Ovis aries: one gene and its partners. The protein of the gene in region 2 interacts with the protein of the main gene of each other region in a pairwise test. Links are inferred from orthologs where the notes say so. Each region holds a gene or a part of one and is shown on either strand. Other genes may lie near its edges. The genes, in order: ARHGAP26, CDC42EP2 and CASS4.

Region 1 (5,391 bases), on a different chromosome or scaffold from region 2:
AGGCAGGAGTTTTTGAAATGCAGGTCCCAAATTATTTTATTGCTTAGCTGCCTTGTTTACCAGATTCTCAAGGGTATTCAATAGACAACAGACCTACACAACATTTCTACTTCACAGTTAAGTGCACAGGCTCTGGAATCAGATAACTTATGTTTAAGTACACTTAACTGCTGTGATGCCTTGGGCAGGTTACTGATCTCTCTGATCTTCAGTTTCCTCATTCATAAAGAGCAATGATCTAGCTGAACTTCAGCAATCCCTGGAGGCCAGTATTATTGCCTCAGATTAACACACAAAGGAAATCTAAACCCAAAAATCTGTGCATACTAATTATAAAGTAAAGCCATAAAATTTTAGAGAGGGAAGAGCCTATAAATCATCTAAACCAATGTTACTTTTACACAATTATGTATTTTTATATATATATTTTTTAAAACGCTTTACATTTTGCAGAAGTGATAAAGATGATCCAAAGAAAATGAATACACATATACTAGCATAGTAATATACCATGCAAGAAGGACCCAATGATAACACAATGCCTGAAGTTCAGGAATTAATAATCCTCTCCACCCTCTTTAAGAGGGCATGTGGCACCTGTTCAAGCACTAATAAGAGTAGAAGAGAATAGTTAGTAATAGAGCTAGATATTAAGAGATTAGAACACCTAGCTCTCCCCCAAGTTATAGAGCTGGTCCATTCATTAGACAATTTAAAAAACTCTTTATCACCTGTACTGTTTCCTCCTACCCAAAGAATTCTTAAGTTCCTCCCCCATACACACCTTAAAAATAGTGGCAAGCAGATAAACTGCCAATCACATAAAGGCATCTTCCTCAGACTCAAGGCTAAGATACAAAATGCAAGTCCAAATTCCAACACTCTCGGACCAGGGGCTCCATTCTGGGCAAGAGGAATGAGACAGAATTAAGAGCTCAACATCAGCAGGAACTTCATCTCTGGCTCAGACCCTGCGGGAGACAAAAACAGCCCTGCTCTTAGAGCGGTGAGACTCTCAGCCAGTGATTCTTTCAAGCCTGCTTTCTCATTTGAAAGATGAGTTATAATACGTGAGATAATTTGTGGGTGAAGCAGTGCCTAGTTTGGAGTAAGTCTCCACAGCCACAGGAACAACAGAACAGTCACTACTACATCCTCAGTGCCCAGGGTAATATCGAGCACACAGCAGGCACTCCAGATGTTTGCTGAATAAAGCAGAGGCCCAATTAAAGCCAGTCTGAGATTCAAACAAAATGTGTGGGCCCAACCTGTAAGTGAGCCCCTAACTTAGTCCAAACTAGGGGTCACATATTCTAAGGACGGCCCTGGTCATCAACAAAAGAAGAGTCTATTCATTTGCTTCTGGTCACAACCTCCAACAGAGACCCTGCCTCTGAAGAGCCTCAGCACACCAAAGTTCTACTTTTATTTCACCTCAAAAGACTACCACTTGCTGCCCTGGGGCTCCTCTGTCTTCTTCATCTTTAGAAACAACAGGCTCACAAAATGACATCTCAGGCACTTGACTTTAAGTCTCCTTCAAAGAGACTTGGTGACAATTCTCAGGCCCACGGCTGCACTCTGCCAAGACAAGCTTTCCTAGTTGAAAGATATCACCTATTAAGAAATGCAGCAAAGAGAAAGGAAAAGTCAAGTGAAAGACAATTCCACTATCTGCCTTTATGTTATTTCTGATTCTTAAAAATAAAAGATGGACCAAATTATTCTTAAATGGGTAGACAGGAAAGGCACCCAAAAAAAGGAGCTCAGCAATCCAAGGCATCCATCCCTAGAGCACTCGTTTGGCCAGAAGGAGACACTCTCTGGCTCTGCAAATGACAAGGGAAATCATACACAGAATGTAAATTTCATTTCTCCCCTGCCAAAGGGAAATTTGCAAAAATGGTTTTGCAAAAGGTTCGAAAATCTCTAAGGATAAGTTTAAACTTCTTTCTGAGCGAAGATCGAGGACATTCCTTCCCAAACCTTTGAGTTTTCAAGGATATTGGGAGAGGTAAAAAAAGCAGAGTGAGGGAGCGAGAGAGGGAGAGGATATGTTCGTTCTATTTTTAAACCCTCGCCCACAGTTTAGAGTAAAGGAACACTCTGATTCTGTACTCCCACCCCTATCACCTTCTGCTAAACACAAGAATCAGAACCTGCACACGTACGTGGCCCTGATTCTAGATCTGGTGGGTTAAAAGCTGCCACTATTCCAAAGAATCGCGAGCTGACCAACCACCCTACCCAGCCCTTTTCTGGGAAGGGAAGGAGATCTCTCGGAGACCCCGGCGGCCCTGAGCAGGCGGGAGTGAAGCAGGCACAACCCGCCTTTTCCTGAGGGGAGGCAGCGCCCCCTTGGCAGGGCACGCTCCATTCCCACGGCTGGGCACTCAGGGGTGAGCAACTCTCCCCCAAGGAAGCCGGAGTCGTGGACGCGAAGGGGTTTCCCAATATGCTACGGTGCTCCAGGCACTCCAGTCCCACTCCTGAGACACCTGTGTGACGCGCACACCCACCCGCGGCGCCCCAGAGCGCTACTCGCGCTCGGTCACCTCCCAGTCCCCTCGGAACGCAAACGGCCGGGTGACGGGTCTCTGCCTTCACTGTCTTGTTGCTAGCTCGCCCATTTTACGTATCCTTTCCGCTTCGCGACAAAGGTCTACGCCCGTCCCTCAGCGCCCGGGGGCAGAAATCCAGCCGGGCGCGGGACCCCTAGGTCTGAGCGCCGCCCGACGGCCCCTCCCGCCCCGGAGCACCGTCCCCGCCAGGCTCCCGGGCACTCACTCTTGAGCGCGCTGATGAGTGACTTCCCGTCCTTGATGAGCTCCTTGATGAATTTGTTGGTCTTGTCCAGCTCCGCTTCGTGCGACTTCAGCGTCTCTCGGAAGTGAGGGCTGTCGAGGCAGCAGTCACTGAATTCGAGCGCGGGCAGCCCCATGGTGTCCGCGGCGCCCAGCCGGGGGGCGCGCCTCCCCCAGGGCTCCGGCGGCCCGCAGCCCGGAGCACGCACGCGGCGAGACCCTGGCCGGCACCCCCGACGGCCGCCGGCTCCACAGGTGTGGCGCCGGCTCGGTCTCAGCGCGGTGTCCGCGGGCGCGCACGATTCCTGAACAGAGCCTGGAGGCGAACGAAGAGCGTCTGCTCCAACGGCGTGTAACCGAGAGGGCGCGGAGCAGGAAGAGCAGCTGAGGACCCGCAGCGGCGACGGGAAGGGAACGACCAGTCGAGCGAGTGCAGCAGCCGCCTGCCCGCCTCCCTCGCCAGTTCGCTCTCCTGCAGCTTCGAGCGCCCTCTCACAGCAGCCTCGGCCGCCCAGCCGGCGTCCGAGCCGGACGAACCTGCTAGCAATGACCTAATCCCAGCCAAGCCAATCAGAACCCCGTCTCAGCCCTACCCACGGGCCTTCCGAGGATGCCCGGCCCTTCCGCGACCATAACCCAATCAACGGGGTCCAGAGGCGGGGTCTAAGTCGGGGGCGTGGCCCACGCCACCGCCTAGGTCCGCAGCACAAGCTCCGCCCTCTCCCGTCTGCTCTGGGTTGCACAGTCGGAGCCGGGAAGGAACGAAGATTGCTGCCGAATGGGCCAGCGCAGCGGCCGGGATCCGAGCCGGAGACGGTGCGTCTGCATATCTGGGAAGCGGAGGAGCCTAGATGTGCCGAACATGAAAAATCTAGGAATTTAGGGCTGCAGTTCCCCTAAGGCTGAGGCAATCGTGCTTACACTCAAAATGCATTCCCCAGTCGGACACAACTGAAGCGACTTAGCACTCGCGCACGTCCCAGGAGAACCCCGAGCGTACCAAGCGACCACGTCGCCCCTAGACACAAGCTCCTTCTTCCACTCAAGCAAAACATACTTACATCTTAAAACTACCAGCTCTTCTGGCCTGCAGTCTTCCCGCCCCCTACAGTCCGGCCCCCTCAAGGCCACTCCTGCTCAAAACCCGCCCACGGCTGCCCCCAACCGAAAGATCTAACATCCTTTCAAGAATTTCAGCCGCCTGTTTTCCTGCTGGGCACCTCACACAATTTTACATAATTACGTCCACTGCCTGTAGTCCTTTGCAATAAATACTGTGAGCTTCAAGACTACGAAATGAGCCACCGCCGCTTTCTTGTGCGCTGCGGCATCCCTAACGCCTAGAACAGTGGCTGGCATCTAGTAACAGATACTGAGCGCTTCCCTTGTGCTATATGTGCAACGGCGATTGATAAGGATTTGTGGAATAAACGAATGGATCCGTTCCCGTGTCTTTCTCCACTTTCCACTTTCCTGTAATGTGTTGCCCTATTGCCCTTGGGTTCCACCACAGTAATCAATCCAGGCAGCTCACTAACTGCACCTGTCAGTCTGGATCCCACAGTGTCCAGTGCTGAACTATGAAGTGCTAGAGGAAAGGGACTGTCTTTGAATAAATTATTCGTATGTCTAGGAAGGAGGAGCCCTCCAGTTAGGTGGTTTTGTGTGTGTGTATGTGGCTTGTTTTTTGTTTGTTTGGTTGTCTTTGTTTTTGTTTTTACATAGGTCTGCTATGTGCAGGCACTAGACTAGATACTAAAGATGCGAAGATGAATAACACAGAATGAACCTGTCTGCTACTGGTTAGTGGGATAGAAAAGCGACAAGCAATAGCAATGCTGCATAGTAAGTTGGGAACGTTGAGAAGGCAATGCTAACTCGGGAGCTAGAGAAGTCATCTACATGGAGGTATTGATTTATTAAATGCATGAATGAATGAATGTGATCTGTTTGCCAGTTGTAGCTACAAATTTAGATTTGATAGCAGGCCCAAACAGTTATCAAATGGATAATTAAAAGTCTGAAAATAGTTGTTCCTCAGTTGCCAAGAATGAGAAAGATGTGGAATGGAATTCCATGAAACTAAATCTGCTTAATGCTATATCTTGAGCACTTAAAAGTAGGTGTTCTGGCTCTTAAGTAATACATAACAAATCACACCAAAACTTAATAGATTAAAGCAAAATATGATCATTGTATTTTCTCTCCTAATCTCTGTGGATCAGGAATTTGGGGAAGAGCTTGACTGGGTTAATCAAGATTGCCAGGAGAAATATCAATAACCTCAGATATGCAGATGACACCACCCTTATGGCAGAAAGCGAAGAACTAAAGAGCCTCTTCATGAAAGTGAAATGAGGAGAGTGGAAGAGTTGGCTTAAAGCTCAACATTTAGAAAACTAAGATCATGGCATCCAGTCCCATCATTTCATGGCAAATAGATGGGGAAACAGCGGAAACAGTGAGAGGCTTTATTTTAGGGGGCTCCAAAGTCACTGATGGTCACTGCAGCCATGAAATTAAGACGCTTACTCCTTGGCAGTAAAGTTATGACCAACCTAGACAGCATATTAAAAAGCAGAGGCAT
Region 2 (5,391 bases):
CTCTGGAGGGATGTCATACAGGTTTAACAGAAAAAGGAAGTGGAACAAGCACTGCCTCTAGTTCCCGCAGCAGGGGACTGGCCTGATGTGTAGAATCAGCACGAAAGGCAAAGAAACTTGTCCAAAGTCGCCCAATGGGTGACCACGTGAGCCCACCCTCCTGGGGCCAGGAGGGGCTGAGCAGGTGGGAAATCGCTGGGGAAGGGTCAAGAAGCCTCTGCCAGTTCCTCTGCTCCATTCTTCTTCTTCTTTTTTTTTTTTAATTTATCTGACTGTGTCGGGTCTTAGTTGTTGCACTAGGGTCTTTAGTTACAGTAAGCAAACTCTTACTTGTGGCACATGGGATCTTCTAGTTCCCTGACCAGGGATTGAACCCAGGATCCCTGTATTGGGAGCACGGAGTTTTAGCCACTGGACCACCAGGGAAGTCCCCTCTGCAGCATTCAGCCTCAGGAGCAGGGTGAAAGAAGAAGGAGGGGGCTGGCAGGAGGGAGCAGGAAGGAGGAAGGAGGATGCAGGAGAGGCAGAATCCCAACTACAGCCCTCCCCCCAGCCAGGCCCTTACTCAGGAAACCCCACCCCAGGACCGGACAGCTCGGGTCAGTGGTGCTGAGCCAGAGACCGGACATCTTGCCCCTCCCAGAGCACCTGCAGCTTAACAGGAAACAAAGGAATGACTCTCCAGTGGCAGAATTCCAGCTAAGCTTGGAAGGAGCTGGGGGGGCAGGGGAGGGAGGCAGGACGTGCTCTGAGGTCCTGGACTCCCATCACTCATTTACCTAAAAGACATTTATCTGTGCCCACCATGCCAGGTCTGGAGGCATGCTGACATATATCCTATCTGTCCCCTTGGCAGGCGAGAAATCCTGGGATAGTTTTCCTTCCTTTTCACTCATGGAGAAGGAGGCCAACTGGTGGGATCTGCCCAGAACTTGGGCCAGACCTCCCCCCTCCTCCCACCCTCCATCATACAGGGCCGCCAAGACAGCCTGAGTGTTTCCACAACAGATCCGGCGTCCCTGACAGCTCTCGAGCTCTGAGCCAGATGTATCCACCCAATTCCAGATGTGAGGAGAACTGAGGCTGGGGGGGGGGAGGGTTGGGCCAGTGTCAACCACCAGGGGAGAGCTGGGAACTGCAACCATCAAGCCCCAAATATTCAGATTTGGCAACTCCAAGACCCCACGCTCCAGCTAGGCTTGCATGGTTTCCAATTTAACCTCCGAGGCACAACACAGTGTCATCACTGGCCTTTACAGAGGCAGAAGCTGAATCTCAGAGACATCAAGCAACTCTGCCCAGATAACCCAGCTAGTAAGAGGAAGAGTGGGCACGGCTACCCAGCTGAGTCCAGTGGCTCTGATACAATGGGCCATGCCAAAATATGTGCACTGCCTGGGGAGCAAGAGGGAAACGGATCCACCTGGGCTGGGGTTGCCAGGTCCCCAAGCCTCCTCCATTTAAGTCCTACCTCTTGGCTGCTTCCATCTCTCAACGTGCAAGTGTCCAGATATATGAGAATGAGCTGTCCATCAGGACAAGGCTCTAGGGGCTGGGCTGGGCTGTGCTGCACCCTGCAGCTTTGGAAGGAGTAGATAGGAGCCATCCCAGCTCTGTGGGCCTGCTCTGGAAAGAGCCCGGGGCCTCCTTCAGAGGTAATGACTTCTTGGAGGCAGAGCCCCCTCCTCACAAGGAATACTAGGCCACTCCCCACCAGGGATGATCCAAAGGTAGGCCCCCAACCTTGAACCCATTGCTACCTGGAAAACATCTTTTCTCTCTGGTCCTCACCTTCCTCATCCATGAAATGGGATGACAACAAGGCCATTACCAGGGAGTTACTGGAAGTCAGAGAGAGTGTGGATGTAGGAGGGGGTTAGCGGGTCACTGTCAGCCTCGACATTTATTCAACAAATAGCTATAGGGACTTCCTCAAGCATTCTGGTTCTCCGGGGACAGTGCTCCAGACAAGACCGAAAAAGAGCAGCCCCTGGGCGGCGGGGTCCTCCAGTACAGGCGCCCTCGCTGGCCGCGGGGTCTCCCAACTTCCCTGTGCAGAGCAGCGCTCGGTTCCGTGGCCACCAGGTGGCGCGCGCTCTCCCTCTACCGCTCCTTGTCCCGGAGGGGTCCTGCACGCACCGGGGTCTCGAGCGAATCTACAGTTCTAGGCAGGCGCCTCCCAAGGAGACGCACGCACGTTCGCGTACCAGGTGGGGACTGTCTGCAGGATTTTCTTCCCTTGGAGGATTCTGGGCTCACAACCAGACAATAGGGGGAAGAGGGAGCGATCGGGGACCCTGCCCGGTTATCCAAGCTCAGGGAGGGGCCTCCCCTGTGCTTTCCGGCCTAGGCGATGTCCGAGTGTCCGCTCGGCGCAGGGCCAGAGTTCGGGCGTGCGGCCCCCGCCCCGTGGCTCCGGCGGGTCCTGCTACTCAGCCCCAGCTCCGGTTCCGGGGCCGACCCCCTCCCCGCCCTCTATTCGAGCGCAGCCCAGCCCAGTCCGGATCCGTTTCAGGACACTCGCGGCCACGGCTAAAGATAGGAGGACACCTCACCGTCTACTAAAAATACGACCCCGGGTCCAGGCGAGAGCGCTGAAAGGCAGGAGGGCACTCCCGGGTCCCGGGGGTGGGGCGGGGGGCCCGGCGCAGCATGGAGGACTGGACCAGGAATTTGGGTTCGGGATGCGCGGCGCCCAGCAGGCCGAGGGGAACGCGGGCGTGGCCGCCGGGACCGAGGCGCGGGTGAGAAAGGCCGTGCATCTCACGGCAGAAAGGACCTACGTAGAGATGAGTTGGGGCCCGAGGCGCGATCAAGGATGAGGCGCCTTAAGGATGGGCCTCTAGAGGGACACCCCCCGCCTCACCCCGCCCCGCCCCAGGAGCCGCGGTCTGGCTGCAGAGTCGGGCCTGAACTCACCTTGACGCGCGTTTAGGCGGCTGACCCGAGAGAGGCGAAAGCGCAGGAGCTGGACCGCGCGGCGGTGGGATAGACCTGAGCTGCGAACTTACAGGGAAGACCGTGGCCCCTGAGGCCCCGCCCCCTGCCCGTAGAGCCAATGCCGGGGCCGCCCCATCTAGGCCACACCCACAGCCTCGCCCCACTCGCGGGCCCGCTTCGGCTCCCTCTTCCCAGGCGCAGCGTAGAGGTCCGGCAGCCGCGGGGACCCGGGGGTCCAGTCCGAGCTCGGGAGGCTGCGGGCCGGGCCGCGTCGGGTAATGGAGCTGGACTCCGCGGACTCCGGCTATGTCCGTCAGAGCCAAAACTCTCGGTTCTACGACGGCCGAGGGGGGAGGTAGCCGGAAGACCGAATTCTTTAGAATTCAGAAGAGAAGCGTCCCCGGAGGGTTCCCTCCCTGGAGGGCACTGGCATAAAAGTATTTAGTGACTGCTGAGGAAATGAATGAGGCCTCGGAGGCGCTTACGTCAATACATTACAGACTTCCGAGAGCTTTCAAAAGTTTGCCGTCTCCTAGAAAGGAAGGCTTTGGGGGTGTGCGCGGGATGAGTGGCCCGGCCACTCCCGTATTTACCGTATTTATCTTCAGGCTAGGTGGCTTCCGGGGCGGGGGTGGGACTGGTACTCAGACTCTTTACAAGATTGGGTGGGGCTTGAGCTGCTGCAGGGTGAGGTCCTGGGGCTCGCCAATGGTGCTGACCACGAGGATTATTGATTGGTTGGTTGGTGGGTTCATTCGTTCATTCAGTGGAAGAAACATTTACTGAAAGGCATACCCTGCAAAGGGTGGATGGTACTGAGGTAAGGGGACCTGAGAGCTGTGACAGTACAATATGACCAAGATGATAAAATCTTCCATTCTGTAAATGTGGGAGGGACTCGAGGAGAGGGGGGTCAGGAAGGCATCCTGAAGGAGGGAAGGATGCTGAGGGTGGAGGTGAAGGTCCGCTAAGCCAGGAGGGAGGGAAGGATGGGGAGAAGCAGAATCCAGTAGGCAGAGTAATGGCTCCCCCTAAAGAGGGGCAACCTGTGAATGTATTTTGTTACATGGCAAAGAACAATTAAGTTTGCCAATGGAATTAGAGTTGCTAATCAACTGACTTTAAAACAGAGAGATTGGGACTTCCCTGGTAGTCCAGTGGTTAAGAAGCCACCCTGCAATGCAAGGGGCATGGGTTCTACCCCTGGGTAGGGAACTAAGATCCCACGTGCAGCAGAGAAACTAAACCGGTGCACCCCCAACTAGAGAGCCCTTGTGCTGCAACAAAAGATCCCACATGAGGCAAGAAAGACCCAACACAGACAAATAAATGAGTTTTTAAAAATTGTGTTGTGCTTTTAAAAAACAAAACAAAAAACCAGAGAGATTATCGGAATTATCTGGGTGGGTCCAGCACAATAATGACTGATGGTTCTTAAAGTGGAAGAGGGAGACTGGAGTGTCAGAAAAAGAGATGTGATGATGCAGAAACTCTGTGTTGCTGCTTAGGAAGATGGAGGAAGGGGCCACAAGCAGGCCAGCCTCTAGAAGCTGGAAAAAAACAAGGAAGCGGGTCGTCCCCTCGAGCATCCAGAAGAAACACAGCCCACTGAGCTTGATTTTAGACCCATGTTGGAACTTCTCATCAATGGGACTGGAAGTTTATAAATTTGTGTTGTTTTAAGCCTCCAGCTTATGGATGTGAGAGCTGGACAATAAAAAACGGCTGAGCACCGAAGAATTGGTACCTTTGAACTGTGGTGCTGGACAAGACTCTTGAGAGTCCCTTGGACTGCAAGGAGATCAAACCAGTCAATCCTAAAGGAAATTGGTACTAAGTATTCATTGGAAGGACTGATGCTGAAGCTGAAGCTCCAGTACTTTGGCCACCTGATGTGAAGAGCCGATTCATTGAAAAAGACCCTGATGCTGGGAAAGATTGAAGGCAGGAGGAGAAGGGGATGACAGAGAGTGAAATGGTTGGATGGCATCAGCAGTTCAATGGATATGAGTTTGAGCAAGCTCTGGGAGTTGGTGAAGGATAGGGAGGCCGGCATGCTGCAGTCCGTGGAGTCCCAAAGAGTTGGACAGGACTGAGCGACTGAACAACAAAGCCCCCATGTTGGTGGCGATTTGCTACAGTAGCAATAGAAAACAAATGCAGGGAAGTTTCAACTTTTAATCTAGAGCCTTCCTGGCCGCTCCTTCAACTCCCCAAGGAGCATCAGTTAGGTGGATTCTGCCAGGACTGGCCTAGTGGCTCAGAGGAAAGCTGAGACCTGGACAGTGGAGGGAGGGGGCCCTAGGCCAAGTTGTGGTGTGGGTGGGTAAGTATTGTACCTTCCCCATTCCTACCACCCAGGCTTTGTCAGCCACCAACTCACCTAGGCCGGCCTATGCTCCTTGCCCAGTGCCTTTTGCCCTTGAGCTCCTCAAATCCTCTGACAGCCAG
Region 3 (4,191 bases), on a different chromosome or scaffold from region 2:
TGGTTTCAGGGAGAGTTTCCACCATCCCTGAGTTGATAAGAATGGAGCAGGGCCTAAACCGTTTGTACAAACAATGTGATTCACACAGGACATCTACTTCCCTTCAAAGAGTCTGGAACTTTGGTCCACGCCACACAGAGGCTCACACATGATCAACCCTAGTGAAACCCTGGAGGCCAGGCTGTCATGAGTTTCTCTGGCGGGCCACACTCCCTGTATATTGTCATGGCTCCCAGCTAGGGGAATTAAGGAGGTCCTAGGTAACTCTTGCCAGCCTGAGCCTGCCCTGGCGCTTCATTCCCACATGACCTTTCCCTTTGCAGATTTTGCTCTGTCTCCTTTCATTGTGATAGATCAGAGTGGTGAGATACTATATGTGGGAACCTGTGAAGCTTCCTACCGAATCAGGGGGCCTCAGGGTGGTCTTGGGTACCCCTGACATGGTCTCTTACCCCAGAATCTCATGTCTTCTCTCAGCATCCATGAGATTATGGCAGGCTGACTTGTTACTTTGAAGTAAGGGAAGACATTTCACAGTTCTTGCTAGAGCCATCTCCTTATCTGTCTAGGAACACATGGCTCTGTGTGTGTGTGTGTGTGTGTGTGTGTCTGTGTGTCTGTGTGTCTGTGTGTAGGGGTGAATCTCAGGTCTAGGACACCTCAGGTATTATACCCCTGTCTTACCATGGAGTTATTAGGGGCAGACATCTGATCTAAACTAGTCCAAGCAGAAAAGAAGACTCTTTCTTCCCCTCTGGCCATAGACCAAGAAAGACCATAACTCATGGCAGACACCTTGAAACCATGAGAGCTAACACAGAGAAAGTGGGGTTCATAAATTGGGCCTTGATGATTCTGCTGGGGGTATCCAAAGCAGCTGTTTTGGAAGCCAGCTTGCCCCTGGATTATGTTAAGATACTTGAGTCAATACATTCCTTTTATTGCTTAAGAGAGATGGTATCAGGAGTCCTAACTGACACAGATCATGGCTGCTCCCAGAAAATGTCTCTAGTCTAGCGCAGAGAACCAAGCCTCACCAGGACAGCATCCTTCTTTAGGGACCCTGAGAGTAACTCCATGTATACAATCAGTCTTTTGGTAGTCAACAATTTAAAAGTGCAGAGTAGCAGATAGGAACTGCAGCTGGTACCATTTCAGGTAATTTCCAGCCTAGAGATGGCTCATGGCAGAGGGGCACATAGAAGACCTGAACCTCCACTTGAAGTGATGAGGTAACCATAGAAACGTGAACTAAAGCCCCAGCTGCAAGGACAGGAAGAGGAGGTGTTTGACTTGGCGCGGGGGAGTAGGGGGAATTCTGGGTCACTCTCAGATCTGTGCCCAGTGATAGGGATGCTGTTTATACCACACTTCCTGGCTCTACTTTTCCCGAGCTAGCGGTGCATGTGCAAACTTGGCCTCTACTTCCTCTCCTTGCACACTTTGGGGAGAAGCATTCGCGTGACACAAATAAACATTTTGCTTTGGTACCAGAACCCAAGTGACAAAGATCAAACATCTTTCCAAAGAAAAGACTGGTGCAAAGGACGTTTCAATTCATGACTGTATTGACATAATATTATAAATGGTAACACATTTGAGACTATTGAGGTATAAACCTTTTCTGATTGAACATACTAAACGTTCAATCCATGTGTTGAATTTATTAACACAGAATCTATAATGTACAAAATAAATAGGGAACCCAATAGAACATATTATGTTACAAATTTACTGCTACTTATAACATGCTGTTTAACTCTGTTCAGATAAAACAGCAAATATATATATACATATTTGGTATAAGTCACAGATACAGAATTTGTACCAGTCTCACAGAATTAATTCTATCCAAACTGAAAATTTTACTACATTTTCTAGCAGATGCAACAGAAATTAATCACTTGAAAATAATCTCTGCCCCCATTCTCATATTCTATTTTCTCCCTGTTGTTTAGTCAGTCGCTCAGTCATGTCTGACTCTCTTGCCAACCCATGGACTGTAGTCTGCCCAACTCCTCTGTCCATGGGATTTCCCAGGAAAGAATACTGGAGTGGGTTGCCATCTCCTTCTCCAGGGGATCTTCCCAAACCAGGGATCGAACCACGTCTCCTGCATTGGCAGGTGGGTTCTTTACCACTGAGCCCCCAAAGAAGCCCCAAAGTAGGCTTCTCCCTAGCACCTAATATATTGTGTATGCACTTCTTCATCATTTGTCTGTCTCCCCACTAGACTGTAAATGCCCTGAGGGCAAAGCCTTGGTCTGATTCAGTGCTACATGCCCAGCACCTAGAATTTAACATACAATAGATACCCAATAAATAAGTACTGAATGAATGAATGAACTTAAAACAGGCACACATTGAGCTAATATAAAAAACTGGATTCCACAACCTCATTTCACACATTGGCCCTACACGATAGGTCCTTTCTTCACACCTAACTCCTCCCTGACTCTGTGGGATAAGCCAATACCCTGGAGTTGCCCAGACCCTCGGTAACACTGGGTTTGGGCACCATGACGATTGCCATCCACTGTATACCCCCAGGTTGGTTTTTCCCAGAGGACAGACTTGCACAGGTTGTGGGTGTGCAACTGAAGTGAAGAGTTTAACAGGGAGAAGGAGGCTTATTCCAACATCCCCCTGAATTGCTGTGCATGCTGTTCCAGCTTCTTGGCTTCAGCCTGGAGGTGCTGCAGGGCGGCGGGGCTGGGGTGCTGGAGCACGGCTTGCTTGGTGGCCAGCGCTAAGTCCTTGAGCAGGCTGCAGAGGCAGCTGCTGCCTCTCAGGATCTCATTGCGCACGTCCCGCTCCTGGGTCTCCCGGCACAGCCTGTCCACCAGCTTCTGCCCGACCGTGATGACCAGCTTGCTCTGCGTGATGAAGGTCTCGGGGGGTTGGCTGTTCTGGAGGCTGCTGTTCAGCACGCCGATGGCTTTGAAGAGCGCCCCAAAATAGAGGCGGCAATGTTCAGAAAGGCGAATTTTCTTCTCAGGATTCTGCTGACTCAAAGGCCGGGGGACCAGGGAGCTGGAATTCTAGAGAAGGGGAAGAAGATGACAGATTAGAGAGATGCGAGCAACAGGCTGTGACTGTCTCTCTTCTCCTGTTTTTGCTTAATTTGCAGACTTTTTATAAGAAAAAGTATAGTTTTGTTTGGGAAGCTCCATGTGCAGGTGTAACATTCTGCCTAACAAATTAATGTTAATTCAAAGCATGTTGTGTTGTTTAGTTGCTAAATCCTGTCCAACTCTTTTGTGACCCAAAGGACTGTAGCCCGCCAGGCTCCTCTGTCCATGGGATTCTCCAGGCAAGAATACTGGAGTAGGTTGCCATTTCCTCCTCCAGGAAATCTTCCCGACCCAGGGATCAAATCCTGGGTCCTTGCCATCTCATTGACAAGGAGGTTCTTTACTGCTGAGCCACCAGGGAAATCCTTTTTAAAGCTTCCTTATAAATATAATCTTATATATTGTGTTATATATAATCATTCATATTAGATATACATAAAATTATATTCAATCCTCTCAACAAACAATTACAAACCCATTCTAAGAAACTTACTGACAATGACTAAATTTATACCTTTTTTTAAAAGTTTTTTCTTTTTATGTTGATCCTTTTTTAATGTTTTTATTGAATTTGTTACAATATTGCTTCTGCTTTACATTTTGTTTTTTTTTTTACTTCCAGGCATGTGGGAACTTAGCTCCCAAACCACACCCCTTGCACTGGAAGGCAACGTCTTAACCACTGGACCACAGCCAAGTCCCCTAAATTTATAAATTTTAAAAAATGCAGGAGAGTTGATGGTGAGCAATTTTAAAATTTTAAATTGAGTAATTTTAAAATTTACTCAAAGAATAGGTTTTAAAGCATTACAAAAAAATCCTTCCTAATTCCAGTATAAGAGGTAAACTTGAATTCCCCCAAATTTCCAAAAGAAATCAAAATATACTGACCTATTTGCTTCAAGATTAAAATATTTATCTTACTTGCTAGTTAAAGTTTCATTTAGAATTTTACTTTCGTTAATTTTATTTTCTGCAATGTGGCGCCAAAGCCTATTCACTAGTGAAAGATTCTCAGCATCAAATTTAGTGTCAGCCACCCCAGGTAACAATCAAAATCCCCTTTGTTAGGTGATAGGTGAGGAGACTGAGTATCCCGGAAGAGAAGAGGTCACCT

Evidence for each region.
Region 1: the proteins of CDC42EP2 (region 2) and ARHGAP26 interact in binary tests that used the Homo sapiens proteins (3 or more experiments, as listed by UniProt). The two-hybrid records come from large-scale screens. The link is inferred for Ovis aries from reciprocal best matches to the Homo sapiens genes CDC42EP2 and ARHGAP26.
Region 3: the proteins of CDC42EP2 (region 2) and CASS4 interact in binary tests that used the Homo sapiens proteins (3 or more experiments, as listed by UniProt). The link is inferred for Ovis aries from reciprocal best matches to the Homo sapiens genes CDC42EP2 and CASS4.

Annotation. Positions count from the first base shown.
Region 1 is NC_056058.1:51,459,002-51,464,392, reverse strand, and holds the start of ARHGAP26 (rho GTPase-activating protein 26), read right to left. Parts: upstream 3,287-5,391; 5' UTR 2,942-3,286; coding exon 2,788-2,941; intron 1-2,787. UniProt on the Homo sapiens protein: GTPase-activating protein for RHOA and CDC42. Facilitates mitochondrial quality control by promoting Parkin-mediated recruitment of autophagosomes to damaged mitochondria.
Region 2 is NC_056074.1:39,966,552-39,971,942, reverse strand, and holds the start of CDC42EP2 (cdc42 effector protein 2), read right to left. Parts: upstream 2,993-5,391; 5' UTR 2,920-2,992; intron 1-2,919. UniProt on the Homo sapiens protein: Probably involved in the organization of the actin cytoskeleton. May act downstream of CDC42 to induce actin filament assembly leading to cell shape changes. Induces pseudopodia formation in fibroblasts in a CDC42-dependent manner.
Region 3 is NC_056066.1:59,154,926-59,159,116, forward strand, and holds the end of CASS4 (cas scaffolding protein family member 4), read right to left. Parts: intron 3,042-4,191; coding exon 2,631-3,041; 3' UTR 1,547-2,630; downstream 1-1,546. UniProt on the Homo sapiens protein: Docking protein that plays a role in tyrosine kinase-based signaling related to cell adhesion and cell spreading. Regulates PTK2/FAK1 activity, focal adhesion integrity, and cell spreading.